Coturnix japonica: one gene and its partners. The protein of the gene in region 4 interacts with the protein of the main gene of each other region in a pairwise test. Links are inferred from orthologs where the notes say so. Each region holds a gene or a part of one and is shown on either strand. Other genes may lie near its edges. The genes, in order: HYI, SRRM4, LNX2 and SRSF11.

The links.
Region 1: the proteins of SRSF11 (region 4) and HYI interact in binary tests that used the Homo sapiens proteins (3 or more experiments, as listed by UniProt). The two-hybrid records come from large-scale screens. The link is inferred for Coturnix japonica from reciprocal best matches to the Homo sapiens genes SRSF11 and HYI.
Region 2: the proteins of SRSF11 (region 4) and SRRM4 interact in binary tests that used the Homo sapiens proteins (3 or more experiments, as listed by UniProt). The link is inferred for Coturnix japonica from reciprocal best matches to the Homo sapiens genes SRSF11 and SRRM4.
Region 3: the proteins of SRSF11 (region 4) and LNX2 interact in a two-hybrid assay, tested with the Homo sapiens proteins (3 studies listed by BioGRID and IntAct). The link is inferred for Coturnix japonica from reciprocal best matches to the Homo sapiens genes SRSF11 and LNX2.

Annotation. Positions count from the first base shown.
Region 1 is NC_029523.1:17,442,911-17,446,906, forward strand, and holds HYI (putative hydroxypyruvate isomerase), read right to left. Parts: upstream 2,701-3,996; 5' UTR 2,678-2,700; coding exon 2,370-2,677; intron 1,815-2,369; coding exon 1,700-1,814; intron 1,607-1,699; coding exon 1,528-1,606; intron 1,378-1,527; coding exon 1,328-1,377; intron 1,215-1,327; coding exon 1,145-1,214; intron 1,003-1,144; coding exon 868-1,002; intron 696-867; coding exon 607-695; 3' UTR 562-606; downstream 1-561. UniProt on the Homo sapiens protein: Catalyzes the reversible isomerization between hydroxypyruvate and 2-hydroxy-3-oxopropanoate (also termed tartronate semialdehyde).
Region 2 is NC_029530.1:8,684,354-8,688,560, forward strand, and holds the start of SRRM4 (serine/arginine repetitive matrix protein 4), read right to left. Parts: upstream 2,816-4,207; 5' UTR 2,578-2,815; intron 1-2,577. UniProt on the Homo sapiens protein: Splicing factor specifically required for neural cell differentiation.
Region 3 is NC_029516.1:157,558,904-157,562,934, reverse strand, and holds the start of LNX2 (ligand of Numb protein X 2), read right to left. Parts: upstream 2,814-4,031; 5' UTR 2,691-2,813; intron 1-2,690. Other genes in the region: protein POLR1D, read left to right, coding at 3,135-3,160.
Region 4 is NC_029523.1:26,139,615-26,143,175, forward strand, and holds part of SRSF11 (serine/arginine-rich splicing factor 11), read left to right. Parts: exon of another isoform or gene 1-2,422; coding exon of another isoform or gene 2,423-2,444; coding exon 2,445-2,554; intron 2,555-3,402; coding exon 3,403-3,495; intron 3,496-3,561. UniProt on the Homo sapiens protein: May function in pre-mRNA splicing.

The DNA of each region.
Region 1 (3,996 bases), about 8.7 Mb from region 4:
CCTTTGCTCTCAGTAGGAGAGCGCCAAATGGGACAGGAAGGGTGAATGGACACAGGGAAGGTTTTGTGGAGGTGTACATTGATGATGATACATTAAAGCCATGGATATATTTGTGAAATAAAACAGAATCAGTTCCCCACTCGTGTGGCACAGGTCAAGATGGGGAAAGCCTCTTCAGGGCAGCAGAGGCACCACTGCCCCATTGCAGGGCTCTCCCTGGAGCAGAGCAGACTAGATTTGCAGTGAGTCTCCTTGCTCAGAGCAGGATCAGCAGTGTGGTCCTGCTTAGCAGCCTGGGAGATTGCATTTGCCAGCAGCTTTGGGAACTGCACAGAATAAAACAGGCAGAGTGGAGAAGTTCAGAACCTGCAGCTCCAGGCACCAGCTGGACTTTGGAAGACTCACTACCTTCCCAAGGGATGAATGATTCCTCAGCACTGAGGACTGAAAGCCTTATCCTAGACCTGCAGCCTGGAGGTGAAGATGCTTCTCTGTCCTTGATGTCACCCTGTCATCTCTGGGGCTGCCCCAGCATCCCCAAACTAAAAACAGACACTCTTGTTTTAGGCTCATTGGTTTGACATTTATTCCAGTGCTTTTCTTACTTTATTCTGTTGCTTTTCTGGGCCCGCCAGGTTTCATGCCTCTGCTCTCCCAGTATGAACGCAGCCAGCCAAGACCTTCTACCGTGTCTCCTGCATGGCAGGTGAAGGATTGTGCTAGCCAAGCTGCAGCAGCTTCTGCTCTCATTTCCAGGTACGGACCTGGCTGCCTACCACCCCCAGTCAGGCCTATCTTCACACAGTCCCGGAGGACTGGTCAATGCTGGGACCTGCTGGGGGGGTCAGAGCACACAGCCCCACTCACCTTTTGGTGCGTACTCACAGCCCACGTAGCCAGTGTAGCCGAGGGACTCCAGCAGCTTGAAGATATAGGGGAAGTTCAGCTCCCCAGGGCTGTCGGGCTCGTGTCGCCCTGGCACCTGTGCGATCTGGATATGACCTGGGGGAGATGGGAGGTTGTGCCCCAGGCAGCCCTGCCTACAGCTGTCTGTCAGCACAGGATGGGGTGACCTGAGAGCATCCCTCATCCCCATCCTCAAGTCACAAGACTCAAAGAAGCCAGGTCAGATGCAGTGCATTACCAATGAGTGGGAGGTACGTCTCCAGGTTACGTGACAGATTCCCATCCATGATCTGACAGTGAAAGAAGTCCTAAGTAAGAGAACATTCAAGAGTTGTTGTAGCTGTTCGGTGGAGCAGGGCTGTCTGGCCCTGAGCCCTGCCTTGCATCTCCAACTGCCTCATGTGCTCAGGGCTGCACTCACCAGCTGCAGCTTCAGGTTGGGTCGTCCCACCTTCTCCAGGATGGCAGCAGCTGAGGGTGCAAGAAATGAGAGTTGGTTAATGCCAAGCTGAAGTTTTCAGGGTTTCAGAAGTGCCCACCTCCTGCCTCCATGCTCAGTCAGACAGCCTGGGGCCGCTGTTTCCTCCATGCAGGCTCCTCTGGGAGAGCTGTGTGCCGTACCTTGGTGTGGGGTGTTCAGAAAGTAGCGCGGGTCAGTGATACGGCTGTTAATCGGCTCCACCAGCCCCAGCATGTCCTCCTGTCACACAGCAATGCATGGCCTCTGCTGCATGGCCTCACGTGCCAGCAGTGGCAGTTCTCCATCCTTTAGAGCCCACCCCCCCCTTATTACCTGAGCTAGGACATCAGCCGCATGCCTGAGGTTCTCAATGAACGTGGCCTCCATCTCACCAGCCACTGCCTCCCGCTCCACACCCCGCGGCACCCGCCCGGCCATCAGGTGGATCCTGTGGGCACACAGAGCTCAGCTCTTGTTTCCAGGCCATGGGTGGGGGCTGACACAACTGCTCTGCAGGTATAGAGACAGCGCCAGGCCTGGGCCATGTCAGGACGGGAGCCTCAGGCAACTGTTGGGTGAAGAAGCACTGAAAATCAAGCAGCTTTCAGCATTGCTGTTAATGCAGAAAACAAGCAGACTCAGGCAGGTGCAGGTCTGGGTGCGGGATCTTGGGCTGTACTGAGGGAAGGAACGAGGGAAGGAATGATTCACAGTGAACGGGACAAAAAGGCAACAGTGTTTTTCTGGAGCGGGTTGTGTCACTATTTCGTCTCTTACAACGCACCTACAGCACGTGGCCCTCAACAAAGCAACAGCTGCGGTGACACGGGGATAACGGCAGGTTCAGGTGTGGAGCAGGCAGGCTGCGGGGGGAGCACGCGGCAGCCCGGCACGAGGGGCAAAGGGCGAGGCGAGGCACGGAGCGAGGCACGGAGCGAGGCACGGTGCCGCTGCGGGGGCAGCTCGGCCGAACCCCCGGCTCCGAGCTCCGTCTCGCACGTACCTGTGGCAGCCCACGGCCCGGCCGTACCGCACGGCCTCGGCCAGACCCTGCCGGAAGGCGTCCTGCCGCCCGGGCACGGCGCACAGCCCCATCTCGCCCCGCTCCGTGTCCCCGGGCGGGGTGTTGAGCAGCACGACCCGCAGCCCAGCCCGCTCTGCGGCGCCGTGCAGCGCTGTGGCCGGGCAGCCCTCGGGCCAGGCCGACTCCACCGCATCGAACCCGGCACGAGCCGCCGCCTCCAGCCGGGCCGGTAGAGCCGGCAGCTCCGGGAACAGCCACGACAGGTTGGCCGAGAAGCGCAGCGCCATGACGGGCAGGTAGGAGGGGCTGTGCTAAGCCAGACCCAATATGGTGGGAGGAGGCGTGGTATCGCTTGCTGTCGATGCTGGATCGCCCCGCCGCCATCTCGTAACGCGGCTTTGAGTTCAGGCTCCTCGTGGGTCTGCAGAGCAAAACCGGGACCCATGTGGGCCTTGTCCTGGCACAGAGCAGTTGTGTGGTTGTGCCGTGCACCAGCAGCACGCAACGTGGCTGCAGCAGCATCCCCGCCTCGGTACAGAGACAGCAGAGCAGCCGCACTCGGGACATCCCGAGCAAGCACTGATTGCTGTGCTTTGCTATGTGCTTTACTATGTGCTTTACTACTTTACACCCTCCCGGTGTGGCCCCACAGCAGGTGTTGGGGTCGGGGCAGTGCGGGCCAAGGGGAAAGCAGCAGCCAAACGATTAGTTATGGAGTCTCAACTCAATTAAGGCTATTGATTAATCAATTAGAAGAAGCTCAACTCAACTTCTCGGCAATAAGCAGAACTGTCCCCCGTGATGGACAGCTGTGCTGAGGTGCGGGGCTGCCACGTGTGTCCCTGGAGAGCATCCCCTGTGTGTGCACACAGTGCAAGCACAGTCTGTGCTCCGTGGGGCTGAAGGAGCTCCATGTCCTACAGCCACATCTGGAGCCCGAGAGCTGGTGATGTGAGCAGCAGAGGTGGGTGTTTGGGAGCTCACAGCAAACCTGCCCTGTGAGCAGCGAGCGCATCTGTTGGGCTCTACAAATTAATGAGTCCTTTCTATCTGTGGTAATGTATTTCATTGATTTTCCCTTGTTATAACTGCAGTTCCTGCATTGCAGCCCGGTGTTTTGTCACTTTACCTTGACAGGGCACAGCGGATTTACTCACTGCTGCTTGGCTGGCCAGGGCAGTGCAGTGCCATGGGATGGCTGTGCTGTATGGTGCACCATCCTGCCCTGCAGACACAGCCGTGTGTGTGTTTTACAGCCTCAAGAATCAGCCCTTGCTCACTATAGGCTGGCTGAAATTCTGGAGCAGACTCATCCATGAGCTGTGATGGCAGGGCTGGGACAGCACAGCAACTCGGCAGCCAGTTCCCTGCTAGAAATGCAGGGCGGTTCCTGCTGGGACCTGGGAAACTTGCTCTTGTTCAGCCAGATTAATGACCCATGGCATATGAGGGGGCCTGGGGAGTCACCTTACTTCCCAGTCTGTGCTTTGACCCCGTGGTAGCACCACTGCTGGGCACCGCACTGGGAAATACACTGTCCTCTCCCCAAAGCCAGGGCAGGGATTTCTGCATTAACAAGAGTGTGCTTGAGTCCCAGCCCTGCTTC
Region 2 (4,207 bases), on a different chromosome or scaffold from region 4:
ATTTGTGCCTGAAATGGAGGGGAAAAACTGGTGCTAGGAATTTGGCAGGAGGAAGGAGAAACACTGCGTGACAGAGGCAGCACACAGCCAGCTGGCCTGATCTGAGCTCCCAGCTCCCGCAGCAGCCAGCTCTGTGCTGCTCCTGATGAGGATTTGAAGCAAAGCGCCCACGTGCCAAAGCAAAGCACCACGGCCACAGGCTGCTGCCCAGCATTAATGGGGGAAGGGAGGCAGCTCCCATCTCTCACGAAAGGCACCAGATTCCAGAAGATCTCCCCTAAGGGGACACAGATCAGAAATGCAGCCTCGCCATTCAGTCACATCCTGACCTGTCAAGTTGCTGTTTCAGTGCTGATGTTTGCATTGCTTGGTGTCCAGCCCCAGGGCAGGGAACAGACCAAATCAACAGCACCCAATTAAAATTACTACTCCTCCAAAAAGAGGACAACTCGAACCCCATACCCCCAAAGCACTGAAAATAATACATGCTCCAACACTGCTTGCATGGCATCTCTTCATTCCATGGCTTTTAAGCAGCCATGGGAGTTCTGAATGTCTCATATTGAGAACCTGGAATGTGGCTGCTGAGTGCAAGCACTGCACAGGTGCTAAGGGATGTGGCTCAGCCATCCTGGAAGGAGCAGGTTTACCAGGCAGGACTGGCAGCAGAGATAATGGCACCGGTGATGTTTCCTTAGGCTGAACTGAAAGGTGACAGTCAGTATAAGCTACCTACAACATTCTGCAGAACAAATGCAGCGTGCTTCAGTTTATACCAACTGTCTCTGCATGTGAGACAGTTATATTGAAATATATTGAATATATTATTTGAAACCTAAACAGCAGGGCAGTAATAGAGCAAACAGGAGGAGCCAGGACACCTGAACTCCCTTCCCAGATTGGACGCAGGAAGCACCACATGAGAGGGCAGCACAGACATCCCAGCTCATATCTCAATAGATAGAGCAGCTTTAGCACCACTAGGTGATACTGCTGGCTGCAAAGGCTCAGCATCCCACTGACAGCCCACCAGCACCCCAGGACAGGCTTAGAGCAAGTCACCGACTGCAGTGCCATGCTGCAGGGAAGGGCAGTGCACAGCCCCACATCCACAGAGTGGTGTGAAGCAATCCGTGTTTATCCCTTCCTGCTGGCATTGTCACGCAAAGACACAGCTCACGCTCCCCTTCCCTCATGCCATTCTCCACTAGGCAGGAGACTTACTTACTTACTCACTTACCACCAGCCTCTCTTCTTCATACACCCCAAGGAAAAGGTGATAAAAATCTCTTTAAAAAGATTTCCAAAGCTCTCACAGATTAAAAGGTCCTATTAGACCACTTTTTAGGATAGCAGTGGAGGCAGGGAGAGGAAAGTTTAAGACAGACAAGCTGCAGTGGAAAAATTGATCTATTAAAGCAGCGGATGCTATCAGGGAAGCGACGGATTTCCTACAGACCAGCATAGCCAGACACATTTCTTCTAAAACAGATCTGTCCTGGCTTCTCCTCACCATGGCAGCTCTGCCCTCTACCTGCCTGCATCACAGCAGCCCGGCTTGACAGCTCTAATGGGGTGATTCAGTTTATTGACCTATTTGCTGCCACCTGCTTGGGACACAGCCACGGCAGATTTGCCATTGTGTAAGCAGCAGCCAGCATAAAACTCTAAATAAATTTTCAGAGGCCGTGAGCAGTGTAATTAATCACACTGTCTATCAAAAGGCAACAGCAGCAGGGCGGCAGGCAGGGGAACACAGAAGGCAAGGCTGTACAAGGGGAGCATCGGGGCCCCCTCCTGCTGTCTGCCCTTACCCCATGCTGCCAGATGAGGCACAAGCCAAGAATTAAGGCCATGCTGAAGCTAGAGTCTAGGTCAAACCCTATTTCACTGCTCACCCACTACTTGAACCTGAGCAAGTAGCCATCTGCCATGACATGCTTCATTTCTGCACACACTTGATGAGGAAATAAGCAGCATTCACAGCCAGCATTTGCAAAGTATTTAAGTTAGGAGCGCTTCAATCTGTTTCCAACCATGCTGAACTCGTGTCTTCTCTTCTCCTCAGGACCTCTGAATCTGGCACAGACCAGCTAGCAGAGCGAGAGCAGAACAGAGATGTTAAAGAAACAGAAGGAAGAGATTTACACACCCCAAACTTGGTTCCTTCCAGCTCACTTGGCAAACGCACCGAGCCTGAATCCTCCTCACTGCGATCTCTCCTCTGCTTCCCTGCCAATGCACCCATTTGGGATGCTGGTTCTGCCGCCTACCCAGTGACCAAAGTGCTGCACTAAGGCTCAGAAAGAAGTCAGGTGATTGCATAGGAGAGATCTATATATACACACACACAAATGTATGTATATGTAATAGGACTCAAATTTTAAGGAGTTTAGGACATGGCACACCTCTGCTTTAAGGTAAGTGCCATGTTGCCTTACAGCAAGGCTCCCTCTTGACAACCTTCCCCACATTCATCAGCAGAAGCAAACAGAAGAGCTTGCCCCTGAGAGAAAACCTTCACACAATCTCCACCTTAAAAAACCATCAGAAGCTCCTGGAGATGCTTTGACTCACCAGGCAAATCAGGAGCCAGCAGGGCCTTTCTGAAGGGAGCTGACAGACAGACAGACATCATGCCTGAACCCTCTGCTTCTCCCACTTTGCATCTCCTTCAGCCAAGCAGGGTGGTCAACATGAAGGCATTGTGCAGGCAGAGGGGCACAGTCCTGACCTGAAAAGACAGAGACAAGAAAATCTTTTATTCTCATGCCATTGAACCGGAGCCAAATGAGGCTGCAGCACACATCTCAGGGCTGTGATTCATCTGAAGTGCTCAGCCAAGCCCTGAGCTCAGAACACAGCCCATCCCAGGGTCGTGCCTCCCCTTCCAGCCTGCTTGCTGGGCTCCCTCCGGGTTGCTGGCATCCCTCCTGCTCCAAGCGGATGCTGCTTCTCTAAGTAACATCAATGCAGCGCTGAGCAAAAACCCCCCTCAAAAGGAGTGAAAACAAAAAAAATCTAGTCCAGCCTTTGAGCCACGCTATTAATATTTCATCTTTTTTTTTTTTTTCTGCCAGAAGAAAGTAAGTCCCTCCTGCCAGCTGGGCTGCCATCTCACCACCACGTATCTGTGTCTCAGCCCTGGCTGCCAGCCTCTCCACACAGATGGCAAATGCAAGGCTCATATCCCCTCCACACAACCCCTTCTGCATCCCTTAGTGGCAGCACCGGAGCCAGCAGCACGCTGTAGTGAGGCATCAAGAGGCAGGCAGGGCTGGGCTGAGCACCCTGCAAAACAAAACTCAGGGCAGACCCAAGGATCGCACACAAGACCTGCATTGGGTCCACCCAGATGGGCCACAGGCTCACACCTCCCATCCCTGACTGCTGCAGCTGGAAGACATCTATCAGTTGTTACCATCACAAAGCCAGGCTCCATCCCACCCCCACGCAATCTATCCATCAGGCATCATCTGTGTCAAGCTGGTTGGTTTTTTTAGTTGAAACTTAATGCCTGTGAAGTATTTTGTCTTTAAATTATTGTGCAGACTCAGTCAGTTAAACAGTGCTTCCCAGTCTAGACAGAACAATCTTGTTGTCAGTGAAACAGATTCGCCCTGACATCCCATGGTGCGTGGTGATGTGTTTGCTATTTTGGAAGAAAGAAGACAGCTAAAAGCTCTTCCTCTCATGGCTCCAAAACCTGATTCCCGTCCACTCAGCTTCAAACAAATACCTTCACAAACCATCCCGTGCCTTTGGTTTGATGGCTCTATGTCAGGCACCAGAATGGGTGAAGAAAGGGGGAATGGCTCTGCCTGCTCCCAGACACAGACCTGCCCGATTCCCCCTGGCCATGGGACGAGCTCTGGGTCATTAGTGTGGAGGTATTGCTTTAAACCGTGCCACAGTTCAAGTTGCAGATCAGCTTTGCCCCTGTTGCCTCCATCAGTGCATGGAGGGACTGCAAACACTTCGGCTCCTTTATAATTAAAAGCCTCTCCTCCCCCGAGTGAAAAACCTGCATAGAGGAAAAGGTGAAGCAGATGAAGCATCTGACAGCACTTCATTTCTAGTCAGGATGAAGCCCGCGGAGCTGTAGGAGTGAAACAAGCCTGATCAAACCAGAGATCATATTTTCCCCTTTTGCACCGTCAGCAAAGGATCCTTGATGTCTGCAGTCAGAAGCAACAAATACCATTTG
Region 3 (4,031 bases), on a different chromosome or scaffold from region 4:
CCTACAAGCTAGTAATAAGAAAGGAACAGCTTACTCCTCACTCCCAGGGCCTCATCCAACCTGGCCTTGACCACCACTAAGGGATGGGCTGATTAAAACATAGAGCTTAGAGATCAAAAGGGGCAGACATCCAGGCAAGCCTGCGCCACCACAACAACCTGATGGACACAGCAGCTGCTGGCAGCACATCAGAGCATCCTGGTCCAGCCCAACCTGCACCCACAGAGCAGGCAGCATCTCTCGTTGCCAAGCCAGGAGCCAACAGCCACTTGTACTGTTACATGCAAAAGAGAGCGCGGTCAGTATGAAAACACATGACAGGTTTAGCCTATGAACTTTGTGAATATAAATCCTGACCCTGAAAACGTTTACATGCAGGCTTAGCGCTAAGCCTAAGAACAGGCCCACTAATTCCAAAAGAAATACTTGGATGCTTAGAATTAAACATATGTAAGTACACAGATCTGTAGAATTGGGGACAGAAAAAAGCACACACCACAATTTGATGGGTTTTTATTGCTCTGTGGATACCACAGTGTAGCAAGTACATCATTCATGATATTTACAAGAATTTTCATCTGCAACATGCCCTGCAGCTCCTCAGCAAACGCCACTGACCTAATAAAACAATTAAGAACCACAAGACTTGACGGTGCCATGTTAAGTTGTTTCTGCAGACCAAACCAACTGAGAATTTTCCAGTCCCGGAGACAGGCCACAGCTGCATCTGATCAGTCACCAGGCGCCTCTTACACCAGGGAGCATCTTAGCACAGCACGAGTGCTGCTTTCTTACCCATTGCAGACCATAATATCTCACGGCTTTTTAAGCAAGCAGCATCGGGCTGATTTATGACACCAATTTGTATTAATCCAATATCTAATATATATCATACGCTTAAACACTTCACTTTTAAAGTGATATCACTGGTTACCACATCTCCTTAACAGTAGCTTTCAGCTACATCAAGCCATTCATTTTAAGAGCACAGGAAAAAGTGAGATTTTAAAAAGAGGGGGGATATTTTCCAGTGTTATAGCTGGAAGCCAACAAACCTCTACTGCTTTCAGTGAGACAAGCGCACAAACAGACCCCCAGTTTGAGGCTCAGAGGCCACGCAGTGCGGGTAAAGGCTCATGGCAATGCCAGGTTTTACTGAGGTCACCAAGGCTCCTGTGAGAGCAAATGCCCAATGTACACAAAAACCAGCAGTATCAAAGCCAGCATTTATGCGTAATAGGTTTTCATAGGCTTCATTTTTAAATGAACCTCACTGTCTCAAGAGAGCAGAACTTTTCACCCAGGAAGCTGCGGGCATTTCTCTTGCAAAGTCCACTGTTAAGCTGCAGCTTAATATTAAATGATGCTTTGGTTAATGAAAGATGTAAGCCTGCCTTAGGCAATAATGTTGATTTAACCATTGTAGACCCAAGTCCAAGGCCCTGGATTATCTCTTGCTGAAGTCACAGACCAGAACTAGAAGCCAGGACAGTTACAAGTTCATTATAGAAAGCTCTCATTAAAGAAAAAAATGTGCATTTTATAGGCACTTATTCCAAGATTTTAGAATTTCAATAATACAAGCACTTAAAAGCATGATATTTTTCTTTAATATAAAGAACTTCAAAAGCCAACAAAACCTTAGTTGAGCACAACTGCAATCCTTACAATTCCCTGCATTTGGAGTCAACCATATAGAACTGGCTTCAGGAAAGAGGGGATTCCTCACTTTAGAAGTCAATGCAAGAAGGTCCCAGTCGGTTTTGTTGTTCCCAAAGGTGTGCTCACAAACCTTGTCTCTGGAGGGATGGTAATGAAGTCACGGCAGCATATGGCACCGCCGTGTTTGCTCCCAAGTGCACAGCCGCTAACCGGAGCCATCTGATGCTCCCCCTAAGCTCCCTGATCTGCGGTGGGATTGAAGCTTACAGCAAAGCTTCGTGGAGCCCAAAGGAAGACAATGGTTTGCAGACACACAGAAATCACTCATTTACTTTAACGGGGGCCCAGCTCGGATCTGGGTCTCTGCTGAGCAAAAGCTCTGATGCGTTTACGAGCAGGAGTGCATTTCCAGAGAGCATCAAACACGACCCAAAGCCGATCCGTGTCATTTTCCCGTCGCACACAGAGAGCAACGAGATCACGTAATTAAAATAGGAATTAAACGAAGCTCGGGCGTACTTAATGGTGGATTCCTACAGCAGGAAACAACCAACGCCCCGCACCGGGAGCGTGGTCACAGGAGCCCCATGGGGCCGAGCAGCCTGTCAGTGCCATAGCACTCCCTACCCGCTCGGCTGAGCACCAACACACAGCGAGGAGCAGTAACACGGCACGCCTCGGGAAAGTTCACAAGGCGCCGCACTGCAAGTTTTCCAACCGCACCTTCGGTTTAAACGAGAGGGGAGAGAAAAGAGCAGCCTGGCATCGATGTGTGCGCTCCGGCGCTGCCCACAACTCTCCCTGCCCTCCGCCCTCCCCAGGCAGCGGTAACGCGACTCCGGAGTCACGGCTCCAGCACAACTCCCCGAAGCGGCCCGGCGCTGCTCTCCCCCTCCCGCACTTGTTGCGGCCCCGCAGGCCCCGCCGCAGGCCCGGCCCTGTCCCGGGGGAGGCCCCCGCCCCGCGGAGCGCAACGAGGGGCCGGGCCGCCCCCAGGGGACCGAGCGCGTTGCGGGGCACGGACTTACCACGGCGGCACCCGGCTCCTCACGGCGGCAGCCGAACTCCGGGCGGCCACTCGGCGCGGCGCCTCCCTCCCCACCGCCCGGCCCCGCTCCCCGCCTCCCCCGGGGCAGCGTAAGTGACGCCGCGCTCCGCCACTCCGGCGGCAGCCCCGGGGCGCGGGGCCGGGCGCGGGGCCGGCTCAGCCTATGGCGGAGCGGCCGAGGCGGGACGCACCGCAGCCCCGGGCCGGGAGGGACCCTCCGCCCTACGGAGCGCAACCCGGGGCGGGGCGGGGCGGGGCGGGGCGGGGTGGGCAGCGCTGCCGCCAGGGCTCCATCCCCGCCCCGCCCGGCACCGCCCCCTCCCCGCCGGATCCGGAGCTGCGCCTGCTCGCTCCGCCTCGAGGAGCTGGGCTGAGAGCGGCTATGGCGTCTGTGTCAGCGTGAGGAGCCGGGCTGTAGTCTGCCATGGAGGAGGATCTGGAGTTGGAGAGGTGAGGGGCGGCCGTACTGTGCTGCGGGTTCTCCTTCGCTCTGGGCTGCGCTTGTAGGGCCAGTGAGGCCTTGGGGCTGGTCCTGTGTCGGCTCCCGGCCTGTAGGGCCTGGCTTGTGCGGCCTGTGCTCGGCCCTGAGCCCTCAGCCCATTGCTACGCATCTCTGCGTAATGCGGACCGCTCTTGTAATGTCATTTATACGCGAGAGATTTAAAAGTCGTATAAATGGGTGGTTAAAGTTATTTGGTTAACGCGTAGAGGCTGAACTTTTTGCAAGCAGCTGCATGGAACTGTTACAGCGAAGTGATGGCTGAGAATCTCATGGTTCCGTCTCATAACTTTTAAGAAATGTGTTTGAGAGTGCTGATGGGAAGGCCTGCTAAAAAGGACCTGGGGGTACTGCTGGATCACAGGCTAAACATGAGCAGCAATGTGCCCTGGCAATCTAGAAGGCCAACCTGTGCTGCATCCAAAGCAACATGGCCAGCTGGCCAAGGGAGTGATCCTGCCCCTCTGCTCTGTGCTGGTGAGGTCTCACCTGAAGTACTGGAGAGACATGGAGCTGTTGGAGCACATCCAGAGGAGGGCCACAGAATGACCCAGGGGATGGAATGCCTTCCTACAAGGACAGGCTGAGAGAGCTGGGGCTGTTCAGCCTGGAGAAGAGAAGGCTCCAGGATGACCTGAGAATGGCCTTTCAGTATGTGAAGGGGGTCTATAAGAAAGAAGGGGACAGATGCTTTAACAGAGTCTGTTGCAGTAGGACAGGGGGATATGGTTTCAAAGCAAGAGAGTGGAGACATAGATTGGATGTAAGGAAGAAGTTCCTTTACAATCATTGTGGTGAGGCACTGGCACAGGTTACCCTGGG
Region 4 (3,561 bases):
GAATATTCTTTGTCAGTCTGACTTGTCCATTCTGGATAAAACTGGTGCATAAAAACTCTGCCCAGTGGTTTCAGTTCAGATTGTCTAAAGATAATGTTAATGACATCATTGTATTTTAATGGGCCTGTTTAAGTCACAGAGTTCCTTATGGGCTGTTTCTTATGGTATTACAGTGATTCAGAGTGTGAACAGTTCTGTCATAATGATGTGGCCTATCCCCAGCCACGTGTTCAGCCAATGAAGCTCTGCCCCTGGTCCCTGTATGGGAGCATCCTTACCTCTAATTTCGTGCTGCCGGGGTCCCAATTCAACAAGTTACTTAAGCACCGTACAGCGAGATTCTTAAAACCGCAGTGAATTTGTTCATGTGCTTAAAGTCAGGCAGATGCTTAATTACTGTGCTGAACTGGGCCCTCACCTCTCTTGTTTTCTGCTGTGATAATTCTGTTTTATTATTGCCTGTCGCTAAAGTGAATGTTTATTATCTGTCTAGCGCAATAATTATCCCATATATCACAAGTGCACTCCAGGTTTAGCACACACAGACACTTTGGTGTTGGCTGTTGCTTTGTGTTATAGAGCTATACACAAAGTCTACGGTAAGGTTTAGTATTCATTGTAATTTTCACTGTGATATTCCTAGATTTGGAAGGAGCTCTAAGATTAAAGGTGGCTGGGGGGGTATTTAGGTTCTTTGGTTAATGTTTGTTTCTTTTGTCTGTTTCTTTTTCTTTCATTTCTACATATTCATACAGTATTTCATGGTTCTAACAAAGCAGCAGTAAAAAAAGCTCTTGAAGCATGAAAATTAACTGGTGAGGGGCCTCATTGCTTTTTTCACTTGTAGTTTATTTATTTCTAAATACCTTTTAAAGAAACGAGTAGAGCATCAGATGCATGATTTTTTTTAATGAATGCAGATCTCCTGTGAGGTGTCTGGAGATGAGTGAGGGTTTGCGTTTAGCTGCCGGAAATGTCGTAGCTGCACTAATTTGAAATGTTTAGCTGTAATTGATAAATATCCTCTCAGACATAATTTTGCATGCAAAATTACCCCGTAATCTCTCTGTAGGTATGTTAATATATTTATGCGTTAATGCCCTTTATCTAAATGACCTTTTTCCCCTCCTCTCCCTCCATAACTTTTGGTATCTAAATTGATGGCAGCTCAATGACACGAGCGAGATAACAGTGCTGTGTGTTGTACATTTGTTTATATTATCGGCACTTCTCAGTATAGGTGGAAGGAACCATTACCTTTATTTAACAGTGGTTTTTCTTTTTTGTTGTTGTGTTTTACAGTTCTTTTCCCTGGTTCAGCCTGAACTATATACCAGGCCCTGCTGAAAATACCACCCAACAGTTTTCTTCTGCAGCTTATCCAGTTTCTCTTAAGTGCCCTGTACATATTGTATGTTTTATGATGAGATGCAGTTTCTTAATACGTATTGCAGAAACGCTACTGGTATTTGCAAATATTTAGTAAAATTGTTTTATTGAACTCTCATTTTGGGGGCTTGGGCACATTAACAAATTAATCCATCTGTATAGGGCTTTTGCTGTTGGATAGAAGTAAAAAACACCTACACAAGTACTTGTTTTGCGCTAGGACCCTTCAAATTATCTGTGCAGAGCAGGCAGTAAATAAGACGCTTGTCTTAGTTGGCTGCAAGATTTGGGGCCAGAAGTTTCTTCCGTAGCAGCATTCTTGGTACATAAGCATGGCACATATCGGAACATAAGCATTTTACTGCACAGGTAAGGAATGTGCCACGACGTACTGTACGTATGCAGACACACACAGCTTGTATTGGAAGACCTGCAGAGTCTGTCGTTTTTATCTGACAAGTCAGCAAAAGCCCTACGCTTGATTCAGCAAAAAAATATTTCCGTACCTTCTCTTTAAGTTTTACAAATTTGCTATGGTAGGTGTAAAAGAAAACATAGTGAACTGTACCGTATTATTAACCCCTAAATCAAACTTTTTTTGTCTTGTGTATCTTGATTTTTCTGTGTGCTTTGTAGTGAAGCAGCCGACACGAGTCGTTGTTCATAAAACAGCTTTTGAAAGTTGAGAGCACACCCCTGGAGAACCGACTGTGCTTGCTTACGTTTGGTTCATGACTTAAAAATCGAGTACAGGTGATGAAATCTTGGCAGTGTTAACAAAACAGTAGTGTGTATTGTGCTATTTTTTTTTGCTCTAGATACTTAACCATTTGTAGAGAAAAAGGAACAGTCAAATTTTCACGCATTGAAGTTTCATTCTGACAAAAAAAAAATTAATGATAAATATTAATAGCCATCAAGCTTTGTATTTTAGCAAACATAAGTACTTTCAACAAACTCAGGTGGTGTATCAGGGAGACATTTTCTTGGGTGTATTTGTGTATTTTCTGCTTTAGAAAAAGAATGCGTTCTAATGCCAGGCTATTTCTCTGCAGGAGTCATTCCTGATGAGACTAAGGCTTTGTCTCTCTTGGCACCAGCCAATGCTGTGGCAGGTCTGCTGCCTGGAGGTGGACTCCTGCCTACTCCCAACCCACTTTCTCAGGTAGGTTTTCTGCTTGGGCTGGATGAAGGGAACCCAATGCTGGGTGCTCAGTTGCTTCCTGCTTGGTCGGTCGGTTGGTTTCCAGAGGAACCTGCTGGCATGCTGATGTTGAGGCAGGGAGTGTTGTACTTTGGATACCTCCATGGATAGTATTGTTGCAGCCCTCTGATACAGTTTTTGTTGGAAGGATGGTGAGTTGTTAGGAGGAGTACTTCTGCTGTGCCACTTACGGCCTTTCCCCTCAGATCCCTTTTCTCTCCATTGAATGCTTACCAACAGATCTGACAAGGAGGAGGGATCTTACAGACAGAGTCTAAATTCCTGAATGCCAAGAAATTGATGAGCTGTGGAGAAATAACTTCAGTAATATTACAGCTGAGGGGGGGGAAAAGTTACAGCGTGTATTTGCTCTTTAAACACACAGAAAATCATGTGGAAAATGAATGGCAAAAAAAGTGTGTTACAGAAAAATATAAGTTCAAAACACATCTTATTAGAGCTCAGAATCAAAGTGCAGGAGGCAAATCAGTAAGAGTCTGGCTTCATTAGCTCTGCATATCTCAGATCTATCTCAGATCTGCTTCTTCAGCTTCTGCTTAGCACTCCTGCATGTAACTCGTGTTATTCCTATATGAAAGATGTATTGAGCTGTTCAGAAGCTGTAGAGCTGAGCCTTGAAACCTGGGGGAAGTTACAGAAGGTGAGGTCACTGGCTTAGAAACTTGGAGTGAGTTTTCCTGGTAACTCCTGGCAGAGTCTCATTTTAGAATGCTTACAGAACGCTTGGAGACTCTGAACAGTTTTTGTCAGTTGAATGTTGCTTTGGCTCATTGCTGTCTTTGTTACAGATTGGTGCTGTTCCTTTAGCTGCTCTCGGAGCTCCTGCTCTCGATCCTGCCCTTGCTGCTCTTGGGCTTCCTGGAGCAAACTTAAACTCTCAGGTGTGTCACAGCGTTCTGTGTTGTCCCACACGTGTTGATGGGTAAGACTGGTGCTGTTCTTAGGTT